5 linked regions of the Oryzias latipes genome follow. The protein of the gene in region 5 interacts with the protein of the main gene of each other region in a biochemical or structural test. Links are inferred from orthologs where the notes say so. Each region holds a gene or a part of one and is shown on either strand. Other genes may lie near its edges. The genes, in order: abcd3, pex13, ATP-binding cassette sub-family D member 2, ATP-binding cassette sub-family D member 1-like and pex19.

What was found.
Region 1: the proteins of pex19 (region 5) and abcd3 form a complex in vitro, tested with the Homo sapiens proteins (4 studies listed by BioGRID and IntAct, with this or other methods). The link is inferred for Oryzias latipes from reciprocal best matches to the Homo sapiens genes PEX19 and ABCD3.
Region 2: the proteins of pex19 (region 5) and pex13 form a complex in vitro, tested with the Homo sapiens proteins (2 studies listed by BioGRID and IntAct, with this or other methods). The link is inferred for Oryzias latipes from reciprocal best matches to the Homo sapiens genes PEX19 and PEX13.
Region 3: the proteins of pex19 (region 5) and ATP-binding cassette sub-family D member 2 form a complex in vitro, tested with the Homo sapiens proteins (3 studies listed by BioGRID and IntAct, with this or other methods). The link is inferred for Oryzias latipes from reciprocal best matches to the Homo sapiens genes PEX19 and ABCD2.
Region 4: the proteins of pex19 (region 5) and ATP-binding cassette sub-family D member 1-like form a complex in vitro, tested with the Homo sapiens proteins (3 studies listed by BioGRID and IntAct, with this or other methods). The link is inferred for Oryzias latipes from reciprocal best matches to the Homo sapiens genes PEX19 and ABCD1.

What each region holds. Positions count from the first base shown.
Region 1 is NC_019878.2:5,064,014-5,067,524, forward strand, and holds part of abcd3 (ATP-binding cassette sub-family D member 3), read left to right. Parts: intron 1-1,119; coding exon 1,120-1,197; intron 1,198-2,316; coding exon 2,317-2,382; intron 2,383-2,639; coding exon 2,640-2,729; intron 2,730-3,191; coding exon 3,192-3,311; intron 3,312-3,387; coding exon 3,388-3,492; intron 3,493-3,511. UniProt on the Homo sapiens protein: Broad substrate specificity ATP-dependent transporter of the ATP-binding cassette (ABC) family that catalyzes the transport of long-chain fatty acids (LCFA)-CoA, dicarboxylic acids-CoA, long-branched-chain fatty acids-CoA and bile acids from the cytosol to the peroxisome lumen for beta-oxydation.
Region 2 is NC_019873.2:7,361,721-7,365,933, forward strand, and holds pex13 (peroxisome biogenesis factor 13), read left to right. Parts: upstream 1-1,404; 5' UTR 1,405-1,501; coding exon 1,502-1,575; intron 1,576-2,074; coding exon 2,075-2,799; intron 2,800-3,013; coding exon 3,014-3,136; intron 3,137-3,227; coding exon 3,228-3,574; 3' UTR 3,575-4,049; downstream 4,050-4,213. UniProt on the Homo sapiens protein: Component of the PEX13-PEX14 docking complex, a translocon channel that specifically mediates the import of peroxisomal cargo proteins bound to PEX5 receptor.
Region 3 is NC_019881.2:636,234-640,463, reverse strand, and holds the start of ATP-binding cassette sub-family D member 2, read left to right. Parts: upstream 1-1,423; 5' UTR 1,424-1,452; coding exon 1,453-2,388; intron 2,389-3,552; coding exon 3,553-3,733; intron 3,734-4,057; coding exon 4,058-4,179; intron 4,180-4,230. Other genes in the region: c23h12orf40 (uncharacterized protein C12orf40 homolog), read right to left, coding at 125-275, 368-407, 474-496.
Region 4 is NC_019865.2:30,246,658-30,250,708, reverse strand, and holds the start of ATP-binding cassette sub-family D member 1-like, read right to left. Parts: upstream 2,810-4,051; 5' UTR 2,464-2,809; intron 1,870-2,463; 5' UTR 1,786-1,869; coding exon 1,645-1,785; intron 1-1,644. UniProt on the Homo sapiens protein: ATP-dependent transporter of the ATP-binding cassette (ABC) family involved in the transport of very long chain fatty acid (VLCFA)-CoA from the cytosol to the peroxisome lumen.
Region 5 is NC_019875.2:3,245,579-3,249,659, reverse strand, and holds the start of pex19 (peroxisomal biogenesis factor 19), read left to right. Parts: upstream 1-1,274; 5' UTR 1,275-1,302; coding exon 1,303-1,366; intron 1,367-2,439; coding exon 2,440-2,528; intron 2,529-2,631; coding exon 2,632-2,794; intron 2,795-2,877; coding exon 2,878-2,978; intron 2,979-3,041; coding exon 3,042-3,215; intron 3,216-3,295; coding exon 3,296-3,466; intron 3,467-4,027; coding exon 4,028-4,072; intron 4,073-4,081. UniProt on the Homo sapiens protein: Necessary for early peroxisomal biogenesis. Acts both as a cytosolic chaperone and as an import receptor for peroxisomal membrane proteins (PMPs).

The sequences.
Region 1 (3,511 bases), on a different chromosome or scaffold from region 5:
GAGCATCAGTCGCTTTGCAGAAAAATCTGAACAGTGGTTCAGATGACTTAAGTCTCACTTTAAACCGTTGCCGCACACATTGCACACATGTTGGATCTGTGTTACTAATGCCCCTCGCAAAGAGTGCAAACTCGTCTGCTGTTGCTTTAGGATTTGCTGATAATCCACCCAAAATATTTGCACCTGGATAACAGGTGCAAACAAGATATTAAAAGAAGGACTGCTGAAGGTTTGCTGTTGTTTGCAAACTTTAAGTCAAAACAATGCAGAGGAGCGATGAGTTGAAGTTGTGAGATGGTTGATGCCCAATAATAAAACAGACGGCAGCCTTTAAAGATGATCTGAAGCCTCAAATCCAGAAGCGGTCTTCTGTCATATGAGCTGTGAGGTAAGACACTTGGGTCATTACAGAAGACCCACTCTGCACCTGATGATGGTCGATGGTACCCTGGGAAGTGTAAGGCGGGGGTTGAGGGTTCTCAGCTGCCCCCAGAGTAAAGAAGCTCTGGTGTTGTGGAGAAAAATGAAAGAGATGGAACATGAGGACTGGGAAAAACTGGAAAATAGAAATGACTTGTCAGCAGTATAAAAAATTCTATGATAACACAGTCGATATTTTTTGTGGCAGGCATGCAAATATCTGATGTTCTAAAGTAATCTGACCAATGGCATTGGTGACAGATGAAGATTAAAACCAAATCTCTTGTGTTTGCAGGGTTCAGAGCAAACTCATCCCTGCAACACTCACTGCAAGCATGAACGAAATGCAGCCAAAAGTCTCACATCTCAGTAGCTCTCATTTAGAAGATGCTGATGTTTGTGTGATAGTTTACTTGCGTTATGTCAGTTTCAAATCGGTGCTTGCAAGTTTTCTTTGGATGAAATGTTCTGGGGTCAGAGTCTGAACCAACAAACTACACCTGTAAAGTGGTCAGTTTACCTAAAATGTGTGGGCTGAATGAATATACACTGAGAGCCTAAAGAACGTCAGTTCTGCCCTGGAGATTACAGGGAAGTCTGCAACAAGTCCGGTGGAAAGCCATGCATGCATGTATGTAGATAACTTTGTGATGGAAACGGAATGAAACGGCTAACCTGATCATGATTTGTGTTGTGAAGGTGACGTCGGGCAACAACGTTCTGGTGTGTGGACCTAACGGATGTGGGAAAAGTTCTCTGTTTCGAGTCCTTGGAGAGGTAAGAGTAGTGGTTTGGAATGGAGCTTATCTGAGCATGCTCAGTCTGCACACTGCACCACAGACATGACTTCAGCTTCCTGTCACTGACAGAGTAAAGCTCTGTCTCCACTAACTATTTCATGGGTTCTGCATGTAAACAGGACCTGGGTTTGAACACTGGAGTAGCTGCTCCACTTCATCACTCTGTACATGAATTCAGCGGAGCGCCACAGAGAGTCTCACAGGGGATGGGAGGGTGTTACAGTGATAAATGATGTAGAAATTGTTCTAAGCAGTGGAGAGGTGTAATTACATGCTTCACTTCAAAACTCGACCTGATGGAATCACAGAGGCCAGTGTGACTTTTTAGAATCATTGGATCTGGAACTGTACATTCACACCGACGTTTAGCATATGGCGTTCACACTGGACTGTGGTTACACGATACTAGAGAGGCTTGGTGTGAAACGTCAGAAACGGTGCCAGTCTTGTGAATTTGGCTTTAGGCCTTTTCTTTCACAGCTCTATTCTGATTTATGAAAGACTTTGTGTCAATGAATTCCATCTGGAAACAGACTGCAATTATTCATTTCTCCTCCATGATCAGTTTTCAAGTGGTTGGTATTTGGAAACTATCCATACGTCACTACCAACTCCAAGTCCCTGACTGGCGAAAGTTCATTGGCAGAGCCCAAACTGGTGGAAACCTGCACAGCTATGCGTGAACGTGAGAGTTTTGAACACTGAAGCCCGAAATAGGCATATACGTGCGAACATTGGAAGACGTTGATTGAACATGCATTGCTGCCAACAGGAATTCACCCACTGGACACTAAAAGAAAAGCTTGAAGGGAGTTCTTTGAGTCTCCCAGTCTGTTTGGATCTGCTGAGATTCTGTTACCTGAACTCAAATGCAGAGTGAATTACTGACCCGTGGAATCTCCTGAACCTTTAGGCCTTTAAAACTCCAACAGAAGCCTGGAGCTCAGAGCTTTGGTAGGCCTCACATGTCGCATGGTCTTCAGGCTGTTAAAGCAGCTGGGAGGGAAACGGCTGAACCGTGGAGTGACAGGAGAAAGACTGGTCCTTGAATGCAGACGTAGCTAAGTGACTTGTGTTTCTTCTTCACTGTGAACAGTTGTGGCCTCTCTTTGGCGGAGAGCTCACCAAACCAGAGCGAGGGAAGCTCTTCTACGTTCCTCAGGTCAGTCGGTGGTTGAAAATAGAAAATCTTTAATGAGGCATTAAAAAATAGCAGCCTTGAACATTTTCATTTTGAACAACGTTCAGACTGACTTTATGTTTACTTTCATAGTTTTTTTGTGTATCAAAGACTTGCTTGTTTGTTTTCCCTGAGTTCGGAGATAGAAGGCAGTATAATAATCTGATTTCTCTGAAAGTTGTCCGAGCAGCCTGGGAACTGTCCGGAATATTTCATTCCATTGGCTGCTGTTTCCACAGAGACCCTACATGACTCTGGGCACTCTGAGGGATCAGGTGATTTACCCCGACACCTGTGAGGAACAGAGGAGGAAGGGCATCTCTGATCAGGTTGGCCTTCGTTCTACCTTTGTGCTCTCCTCATCCTCAGCTGCTCTGATGGTTATGCAATTAAACCAGACAGTAAAGAGCTCGTCATCTGCTGAAAAAATAGTTTTATTTTTCAATCGTTCATTCCCTGAGTTAAAATGTTGCAGATGCTGGGAGCTGCTGTCAGAGGCAGCTGCCAATCAAACTTGGCCCCGCCCATTCTGACTATTTCTGGAGTTGTGTGCGGAGTAAGCTCCAGTGAAGTTCACTCATCAGGTTCTGATGGAGGACATCAGAGGGTCTACAGTTGAGCTGAGCTCAGTATTGATGAAGCTGCATGTGGATTCTGGATTTGGATCTTGATGACATGCAGACAACAGATGGCATCTTTTTTTTACATCAGCCGCACTTTCTGAATCAGTGTTGTGTCGAAGTAAATATCAAGTAGTGTCAAGAAATATTTTTGTGTACATCTGTGTGTAGGTTTTGAAGCAGTATCTGGACAACGTTCAGCTGGGTCACATCCTGGACAGAGAGGGTAGCTGGGATTCGGTCCAGGACTGGATGGATGTTCTCAGTGGAGGAGAGAAGCAGAGGATGGCTGTACGGACCCTTCCCTAAGCTCAGTCGGACTGTTAGTGGATTTTTCAAAGTGACTGATAATTGTGTATTTGTGCAGATGGCCAGATTGTTCTACCACAAACCCCAGTTCGCCATCTTGGACGAGTGCACAAGTGCAGTTAGCGTGGACGTGGAGGACTTCATCTACAGTCACTGCAAAACGGTGAGGAGCGACAGAAGCA
Region 2 (4,213 bases), on a different chromosome or scaffold from region 5:
TGCTTCAAGGCTTACTCCTGATGTTTCTTCAGGTTATTGAGTCATGCAGCACAAACGATATTTTTATATATGATGTTTTACAGTCAGGAAGGGACTCTTGGTTTGCTTTGCTACCACTTTTCGATTGAGTGGTAACTCAAGTCCAAAACCAGGTCACAACAGAAAAAAGCTTTTACAAAGCTCTTGCAAAGCATCGCAGGCAATCCCACCAAACCACTTTGTATCAGGTATCTTCAGAACTCTGGCATCTTCTCACCAGATGACACTTAGGATTCCCACCTTAATCTAGCAAACCAAATACCATGATGCCACAGATGACGGAGTCGGCCTCACACGCCCACACTGTGGGGATGACACAGAGCTCGTCTCTGATAGAATGCGAATCGACAGCTCTGCACGCGCTCCCCCACATCTCCTGCCTTCACACTTGACATCACAGAGACTCCCTCTTGAAACCACAGCTCACTTTGCACACACTGAGGCTCTTCAGAGCAGCCTTTTTCACCACTCCCCATCTCAGCTAGGGTTGACTGACGTTGGTTAGTGGGGGGGCAAAGAACTGACATCAGATTTTCACTGTTCGTCCAATGAAATACATGCATGTAATAAAGATCTGGATGCAGTTTTAAGCTTTTGTGATCAATTTAAAGACATTAAACACTTGATATGTAAGCATCCCTTCATGGCAGTTAAAAAAAACATGAACAATATTGAAGTTACTTTTGTGGACTAAACATAAGTTTCATACTGAAACTCCTCTTTCAATTTGTTGTTTTTATTACTAAATAGATCAAATAAATATAATGAACATTTTGAATATTGTTTTAAATATATAAAAATGTATTAAAGTCATTACATCGTTCATAAATTATTTATTAATATACATTATTTTGAGGTTCAAAATTTATGAGAGAAGAGTAATTGATTTTGTCATTACCCATCACTTTTCTGTTGATTCTTTGCGCCCTCTGGTGGACAAAGGTAAAATGAGATTTTCGGTGGATTAAAATGATCAGACAGTACTAATCGAGTTGATTTCATCGATACGCCCATATTTTGAATAATTTAAATAATAAAAAGCAAAAATTGTTTTAAAAAAATCTCTATACAAATTGAATAACATAGTAAGATTCAGAAGTCCCGAAGTGTTTAGACCGGTTTGGATTGATTTGTGGTACGAATATCAACTAGTCTTGCCTGACTTGCTGTTTTCGATTGCTAAAGTGGTACCTTCAATATAAATTGGAAATTCCAAAACGATAAAAGTAAACTACCTAGTAAGCTAGTGTTTCATTTGTTGAAATAACCATTATTGATCAGCCAAAGTAAAACATGTTACATGAAAAGCCACAAAAAAGAGAATAGAAACATACAAAAATATTACAAATCAAATCCCTTAGAATAAAGAAAAAAACAAGGAGTTCAGGAAGGCAACACGGCAAGTCACAGGAGGACATCTGTCATCACAGATATTTTTTAGCTAACCATCACAAACTTCGCGATGGATTCACAGCCCCCACTCAAACCGTGGGAAAGGCGAATTCCTGGGGGTATGAGCGCACCTATAAACTACAGGTAAATGAGATTCAGGAAGTTATTTGTAGGGTTATTAGTTGTTGTTTCGAAGTTTTCCTAGGTAGCCTAATGCTAACGTTGCTAAAGGAGCTACTGCTAAACAATTACAGAACAGAACGAAACACCATATGAAACGCTGGTTAAAGCTATTACTGATTTATAATCAGGATAGTTGTATCTAAGGTACACTAGTTAATTTCAAATATGTTTAAAATTCGTCTAATTGTTTTTAGACTGTGTTTTTAGACTTGTTTTAGTACTTGTTGCTACTAGTTTGCATAGTAGCCAGGCCCCCGTAGTTGCCAGATATTTGTTGCATTGCCTTAATAAACGCAAAAGTTTTGCTATGAATTTTTTGAAAGATATTATCTTTCTGTTTGATTTTTTAATAGTAGCAGTTTTAAATCCATTAAGAACGAAAAAGCAGAAAGTCTTGTTATTTTGCTCAGATTTCTTGGTTGTCCTGCTGGTTTAGCTCCATCACTTTCTTTACACACAGATCGACAGACTTTGGACCAATTGCAGGCTCCTCCATTCCTGCTGGCCCTCCAGTTCTGACCAGAATGGCTCCTCCAGTGCCTGCTCGCCCGCTCCAGCAGTCATACCGCCCATCCTATTCCTCTTTCACCTCCTCTTACAGCCCCTATGGAAGCTCCATCTATGGGGGTTACAGCCCTTACAGCTATGGCGGCGGTTATGGCGGTGGCTTCGGTGGCAGCTATGGTCCGGGAGGGTACAGTCGTTTACCCCACACAGAAGAAATCGCCCCCAGCCGGTTTGTGCAGCAGGCAGAGGAGAGCAGCCGTGGAGCCTTCCAGTCCATTGAAAGCATCGTCCAGGCTTTTGCTTCGGTTAGCATGATGCTGGACGCCACCTTCTCCGCCGTGTACAACAGTTTTCGTGCCGTGCTGGACGTAGCCAATCACCTAACAAGGCTGCGTGCTCACCTCACTAGAGTTTTGTCAGCCTTCGCTCTGGTGCGCACGCTGCGGTATCTCTACCAGCGTTTGCTGCGGCTGCTGGGGAGGAGGTCAGATGTGGAGGACTTGTGGGCTGACAGCACAAGTGATGCTGTGGTGGCGGGTTCCTCCAGGGGATATGAGGCAGGAATGGATGAACAGAGCGTGAAGTCCTGGCCTATTTTCCTCTTTTTTGCTGTGGTTCTGGGTGGACCTTACCTCATCTGGAAGTTGTTGAGCTCCAGCCCCAGCTCTGATGAAAATAGTAAGGCTGGCATTGAATCCTTAATTTTATTGGTTTATTTTTCCGTTTGTTTGAAGAATTTACAACAGAAGATCATAAAAACACCAAACCAATGACCACAGTGTGGAGTTGTCGATTAAAGTATTATTCATTTAATAATACTATTCAATTATCTTGATGTAATCGTGTTTCTTCTACTTGATGTGCTCAATAGAAATGTTGTTGTTTTTTTCAGGTACAAACTGGGCCAGCGGGGAAGACGATCATGTCGTGGCTCGGGCTGAGTATGATTTCTCAGCAGCTTCTGAAGAAGAAATTCCTTTGCGGGCTGGAGACATGCTAAACCTGGCCCCTAAAGGTGAGACCTTCCTCAAATGTGTCGTGATTAATTAAAGTATTCCATAAAACTGCCTTTATTAACAATTGGTATATTTAAATTCTGGTTGCAGAGCAGCAACCGCGGGTGCGAGGCTGGTTGCTGGCCAGTGTGGATGGCCAGACAATTGGACTGGTCCCAGCTAACTATGTGAAAGTCCTTGGCAAGAGGAGAGGCCGCAAGCACGCGGAGATGGAACGGCTCGCTGAGGTCCAGGAGGAGAACCAGCGGGCCTCTCAAACACCAGCAGCTGCGCATGGTTCCACTTCAGATCTCTCCACAGCCTCCATGGCTCCCTCGACAGACCACCTACTAGAATCAGTATACAGAGAAATCCCAGCTGCCTTCGCTCTGGGAACATCCAACTCCAGCATGAGCTCTGACACAGTGTTGAATATCCCTGAAAAGACGGACCTGTGACGACTGTGTGTGCATGTGTTGCATTTACATCGTCTGTCAGTCAGTTCAAGTTTATCATTTCACTAATCAATTCTTCTGTAGGTCTTTGATTTCATTCATCAGCACAGTTTTCCTCTTAAAGTAAAATGGCTCAGAATCGTTTTTGTGTGAGATGATGTGTACTACATCGTCTTTGTGTTCTGTGAAGTCCAATTATGGGATGCATTGATGTATGTTAATGGGAAATGTAAAAGGGTTGTTGATGTCATGATATACATGTGAGGTTTCACCCTCAGGTGAAGCCGGGTGGACATCTGTAGGTTGTTGTTTTTTTTTGGATCAAGTGAAATTTGATTCACTCAGAAATAAGAAAGACTAGCTTTGCACATTTTAAAGTTTGTTAGTCCAATGTAATTTTGTAAATACTTAAAATAATTATTTTGAAAATAAATCTAATGGATTATTTTTTGCAGTATTAATCTGCAACCAAAAAAAAGCACGTCTTATTTTATTATTTGTGTCGAAAAATGTTGCGTGCGTGCGTGTGGAAATGACAGCTCTGTTTGATGTACGACAGAAATTTTGGATTTACGGTTTTCGTTTCCAGGCAACAGGACGCCCTTGGCTGCTGCAGTGCGACATCGGGGGCGACTCCGCAGA
Region 3 (4,230 bases), on a different chromosome or scaffold from region 5:
AAAAGTTCCCGTATTAGCATAATTTTAAAAAAAGGTTTTGGTACAAAAAGCATTTTTTCTTTTATGCCACAGAGATATTTAGAAGATTATTCTAATGCATAATTGTGGCCTAACACCATCTTACCTTGGTTTGCTTTCTTGGTAGCGATCTGGTTAACAATAAGTAAAGTCATCAGGTCTGTGCTCCCAGAGCCAACATTTCCAGACGAGGAATTTGGAAGATTTATGCCCAACTTCTTCAATTTTTGCTCCATTTTTTTCTTTTCAAAAAACTCCTAAGACACACAAAAACAAAAAATATAAAGTATTACTGGGCACAACCTACTAGTTTAGTTTTTGAAAATATTTTCTTTGCAGGTTGTCTCACCCTCTGCTTTTTAGCATTGTTCTTCATCACCAAGCGGTTCCTGAAGTATTGATCATTTCTTGGTCATTTAGTTAGCTCAAAGGCAGTTATGCTAAACTTTACTTACCTTGAACCTCCAACCCAGTTCATGTTTAAAGACAATTTATGGACAAAATGTCACTGGAATTAGCTAAACTGTAACAGGGCTGTAATAACCGCCAAAACAGGTGGATACCGATTGGCTAAAAAAACTATGACGTCAGAGAACAACCGTTAGATGAGAACGAATACATTCCCAAAGATCGGGTTATAGTTCGGTGCCTTGTGGAGGCTTTTTAAATGTATATACCGGTAAATTGTGATACTTGCTTTGCTGTATTTACAGAAGTGAAATTAGAGTGAATGTACTGTTAATACAGCAGAAAAGAAGCGTTTATAACTGTTGTCGTGGCCAATAGAAAACAAGGTGCTTATTTCATAACAACGATACTTCCGGCGGTATGGACTCCCCTCCGGTGGACGGAGAGTACTAATACACTTCACATGTCATTGTCTTATTTTTATTTTTTATTTTTTTTGGCACGCGGCGCCGTTAAACCAAAGTCTTGAGGCAGACCAAACAAATAATGACGCAGTTCCCAGCGCCACCCGATTGGAGGCGCTATTGCCCCACCAAGGCGCTGAAAAAAGCCTTAGTAGGCGTAGCTTTGGTAAAAGTTTTTATTTCTCTCAAAAAATAGGCTAACTGCGCAAACGGACAAACCCTGATGGAGTCGATTCTGGAGGGGGTTTCTAATAAAGAACCGAGAGTGTACATAAAGGCAACACGAAGAAGAAGATGATGCTAAAACCGGAAGTTGAACTGTTTTATCAAATAAAAGCATAGGTGGAACTCTACTGCACTGTCCTGCTCTCTGTGGGGACGTTTAATTTTGGTGGAACAACAGGAAGTGCAGCTGTTAGCTAGTTTACCTTGCTAGTCTCTGATACAAAAAGGCGTCCGGTGTAGCGGTACATGTCTGGATTCACTCTACGCCAACTTCCCTCGTCGACCTCGGAGGATGGACATCATGCGGCGCGTTGGCGGAGAACACTAACACTCAAAGATGGCCAACCTCCTCGATGCGGCGGCCAAAGTGAAATGGGACCGAACGGCCGCGGCGAAGCGAGCCGTGTTCCTGGCGGCCGCCGCTTACGGCGTCAAAAGCCTGTATCCGATCATCTGGAAGCTGATCTGCAAAAGCAAAAGTCCCCGCAGCGACTCGCTGGCGGAAACCACGAACGGCGTGCCGGGAAGAGCTCCCAAAAGCGCCGGGACCGGAGCCAGAGCCTCGCCGGGGCTGAACGCCGAGTTTTTCCATCAGATCCTGGAGCTCGGTAAAATCCTCTTCCCCCGGCTGGTCTCCAAAGAGCTGTGCCTGCTGAGCCTCCACTCCGTGGCGCTCATTTCCAGGACGTTTCTGTCCATCTACGTGGCCAGCCTGGACGGGAAGATCGTGAAGACGATCGTGGAGAAGGAACCGCAGCGCTTCATCCTCCAGCTGGTCAAATGGCTCCTCATCGCCATCCCGGCCACCTTCGTCAACAGCGCCATCCGGTTCCTGGAGTGCAAACTGGCCCTGGCCTTCCGAACCCGACTAGTGGACCACGCGTACCGGACCTACTTCACCGACCAGACCTACTACAAAGTCAGCAACATGGACGGGAGGCTCGCCAACGCGGACCAATCGCTCACGGAGGACGTGATGATGTTCTCCCAGTCTGTGGCCCACCTGTACTCCAACCTCACCAAGCCCATCCTGGACGTGGTCCTGACCTCCTACACGCTGATCCAGACCGCCAGGACGAGGGGGGCCAGCCCCACCGGGCCCACCCTGCTGGCCGGGGCGGTGGTGTGCGTCACGGCGATGGTCCTGCGCGCGTGCTCGCCCAAATTTGGCAAACTGGTGGCGGAGGAGGCGCACAGGAAGGGCTTCCTGCGGTACGTGCACTCCCGGATCATCGCCAATGCCGAGGAGATCGCCTTCTACAGAGGACACAAGGCAAGCAGCCGTCTGGACATGCATTAATGCAGATGTGCATCTGTGTCCAATGGTTATGCCGTTTGAACAAAAAAAAACAAGCGACGTTACTGCAGAGCAACAGTAGTTTATTAGAAACTTGCCTCTTGAGTCATAGCTTGCTGCAAAGCAACCCCGGCCCCCTTCACCCAAAATGAGAGCTTTCTGTTTACACCAAAGCCTTCCCAGTGGTTTCTTGTTCGTGAAAATGCAATTTCTACACAAAATAAAAAAACCTGTGTTGTTTTCTAGGACATAGTTTCTGCAGAGTGGCAGTGGGTGGCGCTGCTCAATCCCGCCGCCCCTCTTCCTGTCACTCATAACTGAGAGCTCTCTGTTTCCATGCCCTCCTGCTAGTATTAGCCACTCCTACACCATCTAGGCCTGCACAATAAAATCCAGAAAACGTCAGCATCTTGATGTCAGACTGTGCGAAACACGTTTAGCAAAAGACCGTGATCAACGCTTACCTTAGATGTTTACACACACGCACAGACAGGGTTAGGAGAAACCATCCTGTTTTTAAAAAGCCCAATGCTTCCTACGTTGGTCTAAACCATAGTAGTTTTACTGTCACAAAGGTAGATAGTTGTTCTTTGTCTTCCCTGTGTCCCATTCAGAGAAATTGCAGTCTCTTATTCGTGCTAAACTGGGATTATGAAGTTGTTTTTCCCTCAAGTCTCATCATCATTGCAATAGTGATTACTAACATTGGACGTTTTTCTCATTTTGTGCAGCCTAACATTAGTGGGACCAGCTGTAGTCCTGCAGTCCAGTTCTGAGCCAGATCCAGTTCAGACCAGGATTTAGTCGTGAACAGCTGGATGAATCAGGATTAGACCATAAATGTATGATGTAGACGATACATCAGCGGGCCACGAGCTCTGCTCCATTCTGATTCATTTGCATGTGGACGGGCTGTACCACCAGCCGAGCAGGGAGCTCCTGCCCCCCCCCCCCCAAGCTCATTTTCTACCTAACAAATAGGATTGTTTTCAAACCGCATATCTGTCTTCACAACGATTGAAACAAAGAGAGTCAGAAATGCGTTTTTCAGTTGTCTTTACTAGCATGTCCTCCATCATCAGAGAACATCTGAAAGCCATTTTCCTGGCAGTGCGTCTGAAGGTCAGGTGTGTGTTGCAGGTGGAGATGTGTCAGCTGCAGAAGTGCTACAAGGCTCTGGCTGACCAGATGAACCTGATCCTGTCCAAGCGCCTCTGGTACATCATGATCGAGCAGTTCCTCATGAAGTATGTGTGGAGTGGCTGTGGACTCGTCATGGTGGCCGTTCCCATCATCACAGCCACCGGATTTGCCGACAGCGGTAGGGGAATCCACAGTAAACCCCCTCAGTCACTTTGCTTCAAGTTCAGTCCTCTTCTGTTGTTCCTGTTGAACTGTGTGCCGTAAAAATCTAGGAGCCTTTGAGGAAAATGCTGCAGGGCACGACTTCTGACAGAAAGGCATTGGTTCCCTTTCATGGGGGAGGATTTGCATCCGTGAAACATGGTGGTTAGCCGCTCTCACAGCAGGAAGCAAACCTGGGTTTCATGATCGTCACAAGCCTTTATGTCAATGCAAACGTGCCGTCATGCCGTCCTGATGTCACGCGTCTGAGCTATCGGTCCTGGTTCCTGTGTGTTTGCAGAAAAGGTGGATGGACAGACGCAGGTCATGGTGAGCGAGAGGACGGAGGCGTTCACAACGGCCCGCAACCTCCTGGTCTCGGGGGCCGACGCCATTGAGAGGATCATGTCCTCCTACAAAGAGGTATGAGCTCATCCCCAGCCCTGATGCTATGAAAATAAATGTCCCTAAACA
Region 4 (4,051 bases), on a different chromosome or scaffold from region 5:
ACAAAGTGAGGAACGGCTGTTGCTTGTCTTTGTGGGCAAAATATAGAAACGCTGCTGAGGCCGGCTCTAAGTTGACGTCATCAAACGGGCGACACCCTCAAGGAGAGAAAGGTGGGTTACCTCCGTGTAGGAAAAAAACAGTTATTTTGTTTAAGAAATTGTTCTTAAGTGTGCCAAAGGTAAAAAATGATCATATATATGAATATAGTTTTATCTGAAAGGCTTACGAACAGCATGATCTAGGCTCTTTAAGTCCATGTGAATCAGGAGTGAGGTTGTAGGAAGCTTGAAAAGCGGGCTACACAAAATCTTTCAATCAAACGTTGCAAATGATCAAATCTTTTTATTCGTGGCTGTGATTGGTCCAAGTTGGTCGAGTCAACAGTGGGCTTGTTAAACCTTGTGCTATCCTAGGCACTTTAACGTTGGGAGTTGGGTCATCTAGACCCACTAGACAGTGCTCTGAACCTTTCTTCTTCAATGATTTGTGATCTTCACTGGTGTCCATGGATTACATGAAATCTTTCCACCTTTATCCACCTTTGTCATGGTAGGGAGAACACGTCAATGGAAGGGTGGGGTCATCTAAGATAGCACAAGGGTTAAAAGTCCACACCCCTACCACCAATATGATGACAGATGTAGATGTACAGATTGTCCTGCCGGCTCAGGACAATCTGTCAGTCAATCAGTTAGAATATTGAACGTGAGACCACATACTTTCATTAAGGCATCTAATTGGTCAGTTTATAAACTTGAATAACTTTTAATACAGAAACAAAAATGAAAAGAGCATTAAAAAGAACATGTTTAAAAAAAGGCATCAGCACAAGAATGTTTATCCTGAACAATAGAATGACTGAGTACCAGCTGTTTATTTCTCTATAGAAGGATTTTGGCTTCTTGGAACCACTTCCTGTTTGGAACATGAGGGGGAGGAGTCACTCAACCGGCTCTCATTTACAGTCAATGGGTGTAATACAGGCATTACTGAACGTGTCAAGCGTAGAATTAATGTATTAGTAATGCATTTCACTACAAGTAATATGTTAATATACTCGATTACACTGTTTATAAAGCATGTGTCTCTGCCACCATCCATGTGAAAACAGGAAGGAGATGAGTCTCTGTAAACAAATCCAACTGCATAATAAGAAGCTTGATAGACGTTAAACGTCAAGGCAAACTGTCATTTAGTTGAAGCAAGCGCTTTAGCCAATCTGAATCATAAAACCTTTGCATTGCACAAATGGTAGAAGTGAATAGTACAATAGTAATGCATGTTGTACTTATGTGTGATGATGGTTAAAGTAAGGTCAGACCGGTTATTTTGAGCAAAACACTTTATGAACATTTCAAGAACTCAAAGCTAATCAGTTTATTTATGGAGCTCCAGCTCACAGCAAAGGTCAAGTCAAAGCCTTTACACAAGGAAGACGACCCTTTATTAGTTTGGACTCTAATTCAGTCCAGATATGTAACCAGATTAGCTTAAATTAATTAAGAGTGCATGTGGACCAAAAAAACTCCCTCCAAGCAGTACATTTTGAACCTTTATTCCTTTTCTTTTGATAAAGTTCTAGCGAGTTTGAGACAGACCGGTTCAACGGCGCTGTGTCCTCTGTCTGTGCAGGTGCGCCTCACCTGCAACCGTCTCCACAGGTACGGAGAAAGTCTGCGGACAGCATAGGCGGCGAGCAGCAGGGCCGACAGCTTCCTGAGCCTGGAGCTCCGCCTCAGCTGAGCTGGCATCTTCTCATAGGCCACCTGCATGCTGAAAGCCATCAGCAGGACCAGTCAGAGGGCCGGCCACAAGGAGAGGTCAAAGGTCGTTGTCAAGGACACATGTTGACATCCGTCTGCCTCCACCTGCACAGGTGAGAACATGACAGGTCAGAGGCTACATCACACTTGCAGACCAGTGGACCTTTATGTCATCTGTGAGGCAGGTTCTGAACACAACTGTTCAGAGAGGTGAACCGGTCCAGAACCACAGACAGAGTCTCCACAGAGCTGATGCTGATCGGGTCCAGAATGGGACAGTCGATCGGGACTCACAGCAATAACAAATGCGTCACAGTGAGACAGAATGTCCCTGACTGCAGAACCCAGAGGACATGAAGAGAACCTCCATCAGAAAGGAGTCCAAACGGACTCCAGGTTTCTCTCAGCAGGACTCTGAGCGCGTGCGCGTACGTGAACACAAGAAACCGAGACAGGCTTGAAGGTTAGTCCGTTATGGACTCAGCAGCTGACCCACAATTCCAGAACCGAGCTCGTTGGGTCGGACTGACCTTCGGCAGAACTTTTTTGTCCGCTGACTTTTAAACGAGTGGCAGGGGGAAAACTTTACCGCGCGTGCGCGTAACCTGTCCGTCGCACTTCCCGTTAGCTGTCTTTCTCTCCCCCTGTCTCCAAACCCCCACCACCACCACCACCCCCCACCCGAGCCCAGACACGCACCGTCCAGCTGGACCCTCCCGGACCGGACCTGTTGTCAGCGGCGGTAATAACACAGCTAGCGGATAACAGGAACTTTCAGGAACTGACAGTTCCGGTTTTAACCCCGCCTTCAACAACTGGACCCTCCGGACCGAACCGTAGTCCCGAACCTTACAGCGCTCTCAAGCGTCTCGGAGCCGGCTGTACGGCTTCTCCTCTAGCCCGCTCCTACCCGGACCTGTAGGTTCTGACCCGGTCAAGGACAAAACCTTAGGACCGGCGCGCAGGCGTAAGACCTGGTTCTGGTCCTCCTGGAACTTTCACTAGATAAATGTAGGTTCGGGGGTCAGGTTCGTTATGGAAAGGTCAGGTGGGCACGCACACAGAGACACACTCGCGCGCAAACACACACCCTCCCCTCGAAAGGATCTCGACACACACAGCCGCGTGACAGCCGCGTCTTTGTCGGCGCGAATAATGACGTAATAACACAGTGACCGGCGGGAATATTGATCTTTTCGTGGTAAAACACGGAAATCCCGCCGCGTGAAAACGTACCAGCCTAGAGTCCGTGCGCTGCGCAGCCTTCTGCCCCCTGATGACCGCGTTGCCCCCTGCAGGCGGGGCCACTCCCGCCAGAAACAGGTACAAGTCCAAAGATAAACGGAAATGCTCCACGTGCTGATAAAAATATGTAGCATCATGGAGACCATAAAACTAGTCAACTTCGAGTATTCAGCCTCACTAACAAACACACATACTTTTTTGATTGTGTTTAACCCTTGTGCTGTCTTAGATGACCCCCCCCCCCAACCCTTACTTTGACGTGTTCTCCCTACCATGATAAAGGTGGAAAGATTTCATGTAATCCATGGACACCAGTGAAGATCACAAATCATTGAAGAAAAAAGGTTCAGAGCACTGTGTAGTGGGTCTAGATGACCCAACTCCCAATGGTAAAGTGCCTAGGATAGCACAAGGGTTAAGGAGACAAGCCACACCTGATCAAAAATCAACCACATGACATGAGAGTTAGCACGGGAACAGGACAGTACCAGCATAACACCTGCAACTGCACTGTTTTCTGCTTCAGTGAATGGGAGCTAAACAGCAAAGACGAATAAGTCATACAGGTGATTTAAACAGCACTTGTTTATTAAAAAGCAAATGTGTGTTAAAGAGCTCAGGCTTGAACAACACAGGTGTGTAGGACAGCAGAGGTTTAATAAAACAGCACAGGTGTGTAGCACATGCGGTCTTGTCAATAACAACATCAATAACACTAACAAAGCTGTAAAGTCATTCATTAATAAATTATAAAAACAGTCAGTCCACTGTAACTTTGTACAAAAACTGGATCAAGCCATCTGATGAACTGGTCAATCAGAAAACAAATCAATAACCCAATGACATCATTGTCTGATTGTCTTTTTTATTTATTTTTTCATCCTGAAGTTGTTTAAGGTCCAAACTGAAACTTGCAGTTCTGTTTATTGCTTCACTTTGATGACCCGCATCCAGATTTGAACCTGGGTTTGGACCTTGTTCTAAATTTGGATCTGGATTTATAGCTGACTTTGTTCCTGCAGATTGCCCTAAAAGTTCTGGA
Region 5 (4,081 bases):
CTTGACTCAAAACAAAATGTTAAAAATTGTATTTAGGAGATTCATACTTTGGTGCAACAACTCTTCTCAGGCATAATAGTTAAATGGTGGTTTTAAACGCCATGCTCTGGTTGTACCCACAAAAAATGTGGCAAATCTTCTGTACCTATAAGAAAAATCTTCTATCGCATCTTTTTTTTTTTTTGGTGCCTCCCGGTGCTGCCAGACAGCTGAGAGCATGGACTCTCCTACAGGGGTCAGTGTCTGCTCCAAGCATCAGATAGGTGCCTCATGATCAGCATGACACTTTTCACTACTACTGATTGGAATGTTCGTGTGCTGCAGACTGACTTCCAACTGTTGTGCTGCCAAACCATGTTGCAGTGTTTGGAATCACACCTGTCTGCACCCTTTAATGCTTTAATGTCCAAAACCAAGCAGGAGCCGTAACGTCCCACTTTAATGTTTAGATAACTACTGTGTGACTATTAAACCATTCATTGATCAAATGTATTTTAACATTATTTATATAATGTTTCAGGTATTAATATTGACAGAATCATACCAGTCCTATATTTTTCTAAAGATAACTTTTGACAGCAGAAAAGCAAGTTCTTTTCAAAATAAAATACATCCTGTATCAACTGAGGTCCTCTTGCTGCTGTTGCAGTTTTACTTGCAACTATATACGTTTAAGAACTGTAGGACAGCTGAAGATAAGAATATATGATTTAAATTTATTAAATAAAAAAACAGTTCTAACGGTAGATTAAACCTTTAAGCATCATTTTGCCAATATTTATCTGACGTTTGCATCTTGGAGGAGTGGTCAAGCTCCCAAAGCCTCTTTGTAGTTTCATGACAGCAATAGTTTAAAAATAAGACAGTTTTCTATGCTAATTTAAAATTTTGAGAGTGCCAATAAACCCATTTATTGCTAAATGCTAAAAAGAACTTAATATACAGATTACATTAAAATCTCTTTTTTAAAAAGGTGTATAGATATATATTTTTTTTACTTCAAGCACATTTTGAAGACAAATATTTCCGAAAAAGACTCACTTAAGTTGCAGAGCATAAAACTGTGCCACTGAACTTTTGATTGTTACGTTTTTAAGTTGATGAAACGGTCGGTGGTCACGAAAATGAGGGACAAAGCGTCACATGTTGATCCTCCTGCATGTGATCCGCAGAGAAAAGCTGTTATGCCTACTCACGCCACCAGGTGGTGCCAGATTTCGGTATGGGCTTGTGACGTAGAGTATGTGCGACGTTTTTTATAGCCAGAACGTCAATTTTGTGAGACAAAGCTGTCTTAGCATTATGGCGTCCGGAGGAGAAGAGGTGTCCGGTGGAGTAGACGCAGAACTGGACGAGTTACTGGACAGTAAGTTCGTCAGGAAGGAATATTAGGTTCACCCTTTTACGTGTCTGTCTGTTGCTAGGAAGATTTCGCTGCTTGGACACTTCTGATGACCGTGTATAAGCTTCAGGTGCTCGGTAGCAGTGACAGTTACCAAAGTATCGCTGACTGACAGCTCGCACGGGCTTCAAAATAAAGCCAGTTTAAGCCGTTTTCAAATGTTTTTGGATATTAATTGTTTAAAAAAAAGTGGATTATAGAGATATAGTTTATAGAAAATGTTAAAGAGGTGTTGTTATTTTTTCAATATTACAATATTGTCAAAATTTTCAGGAACATTTTATTGTTGTTTTTTTCCTTGTTGATTTATAAATACTTCTAATATGTCATCTGTGGTTGCTTTGTGTTACTTTTATAGTTTTGTCTTCTGCTGTATTCTTAAATGTTATTGTTCAGGTCTAGTTTTAAAATAGAAATTATTGACAAATAAGATAGATAGATATCTTAACTTATACTAGGGATGTAAAAGAAAGATACAGATGTTCATCAAAAAGGGATCAAGCACAGAGAATCGCAGTAGAATTGGTTGAAAAACCACAGATACAAACAAGTGTGGGTAAAAATGTGTTAAACTGTTCAGGAAGTTATAAATTCTTCTGATAACCATTTTTCTCACATCACATAAAACAATACATGAATAAATTAATATGACACCTTTTTATTTAAGAAACGAAGCAGCCTACAATGCAGGTTTAAATATTCATTGAATGAATAATAAATATTCAGATTGTATTTGTTTAGTCAAAAGAATTGGACTTTATCCTGTCGCCACAAAGTTAGTTGAACCTTTTATGCATCGATTCATGGACCAAATATTGAGATGCGTCTACTTACTTATCATTTTGTCAGCTTGACCTCTTCACTGCTGCTGCATTTTATGTTTATTATCTGATCAAAAGTAAAACAGACTGACCATCCAAACAGAAACTAAACAATTACTGAGCTGAAAGTATTGCTTTTTTTTTTAAGGCAATCGATCAAATATTTCATATATTGCTTGGATAATAAATGCCTACTGCTGTGTCTTTTTCCTTTAGGCGCTTTGGATGACTTTGACAAAGCCTCCTCTCCTCCGGCCCCTGAAGCTGCAGCAGCCTCTTCCTCAGCCAGCAGTGGTGCAGAGAAGGTCTGTGTCTGCTTCTGTTCATTAGGATTCAGCTGCCTTCTGCTTGGACTGAAAGACCCCATCAATAGTACGATCTTCACAAGTCTTCCATTTCTGCCTGTAGCCCCCCCTGCTTGAGGACTGCAAACTCTTTGAGAGTCTCTTTGAGGGGGACATGGCGACCCAGGCCAGGGACGAGTGGGAGAAGGCCATGTCCGAGCTGGCCCAGGAGGAGCCAGAACTGCTGCAGCACTTCCAGAAACTGTCAGAGGCAGCAGGCAAAGTCGGTAAGAGGAGTTATTTGTTGTGAATCTTTGTTATACTGAATGTGTCGGTCTTGCAGTCTAAGTTGCGTGTTTGCTCCAAACAGGGACAGACACAGCTTCCCAGCAGGAGTTCACTTCCTGTCTGAAGGATACCCTCCGTGGCCTGGCGAAGAATGCAGACAACCTCCAAGTTGGCTCCTTAGACGTAAAGGAATATTGGTGTAAAGCTTTTGAAGGAAAATAATGACAATTGTTTTGTTTTACCCAGTCTTCAGGTCTAGCTGGAGATGACCTGGTTAAGGCTCTTGAGGGTCTTGGGTTGGATGAGGGTGGGGAAGGGGGTGGAGACGATGGGAACATCCTCCCCGTCATGCAGTCCATCATGCAGAACCTGCTCTCTAAAGAAGTGCTGTATCCTTCTCTCAAAGAAATCACCACTAAGGTCTGCAGATGTTTCCTCTGAACCCATCAGACTCTGAATCCACTCTTCCAGCTTTGACCGTTGACGTCTCACCTTCACAGTACCCAGAGTGGCTGCAAGCAAACAAGCCCAGCTTAAGTGCAGAGGACTACCGCCGCTACGAACAGCAATCCAAAGTCATGGGAGATATCTGCAAGCTCTTTGAGGCCGAGGAACAGGGAGTAGAAAACAAAGAGAGAACTTTTGAGAGCATCATGGACCGGATGCAGCAGGTGATGCAGCTTTTTTCTTTTGGGACAATATTTACAATTGATTTGTTTATTTAAATTTGCTTTTTATGTTTTCTGTTTTGACATCATCCACATTATTCTGAATCATAGTAAAAGTCACAACACATCACTTTTTCGACGATCCAGCTGCAGGATGTCCATCATTTATGGATGTGATGGTTGCAAAGCTCTTTTAATATCTTTAGGGACTGTTGATGGCTAAACTGTTTCCCTGTAAAACTGATTTTAAAAAGGTCACTGAACACACACTGTTATTGCCGTTACGGCTAACAAGCAGCATTTAAAAGTTTAGATATTGTAAGCTCAAAAAATACCCTTCAAACACAAATTTCCCAGTTATTATCTTCTTACAGAGATAATAACTACATTATAATTATATTATAATTTATACTATAAATTAAGTTATTAATGTAAGCTTATTAAAAATGCGCCTTTAAGCATATCCATGGACAAAAAATGTTGTGTTTATTAGTTCAAACATGCAAGGTTTTTGGTTTTTTGGACAGGAACTCAACTGTTTTGTGTTTAATTATCTCCTTATAGCTGCAGGATCTAGGCCAGCCACCCAAGGAATTGGCAGGAGATGTGGTAAGTTTG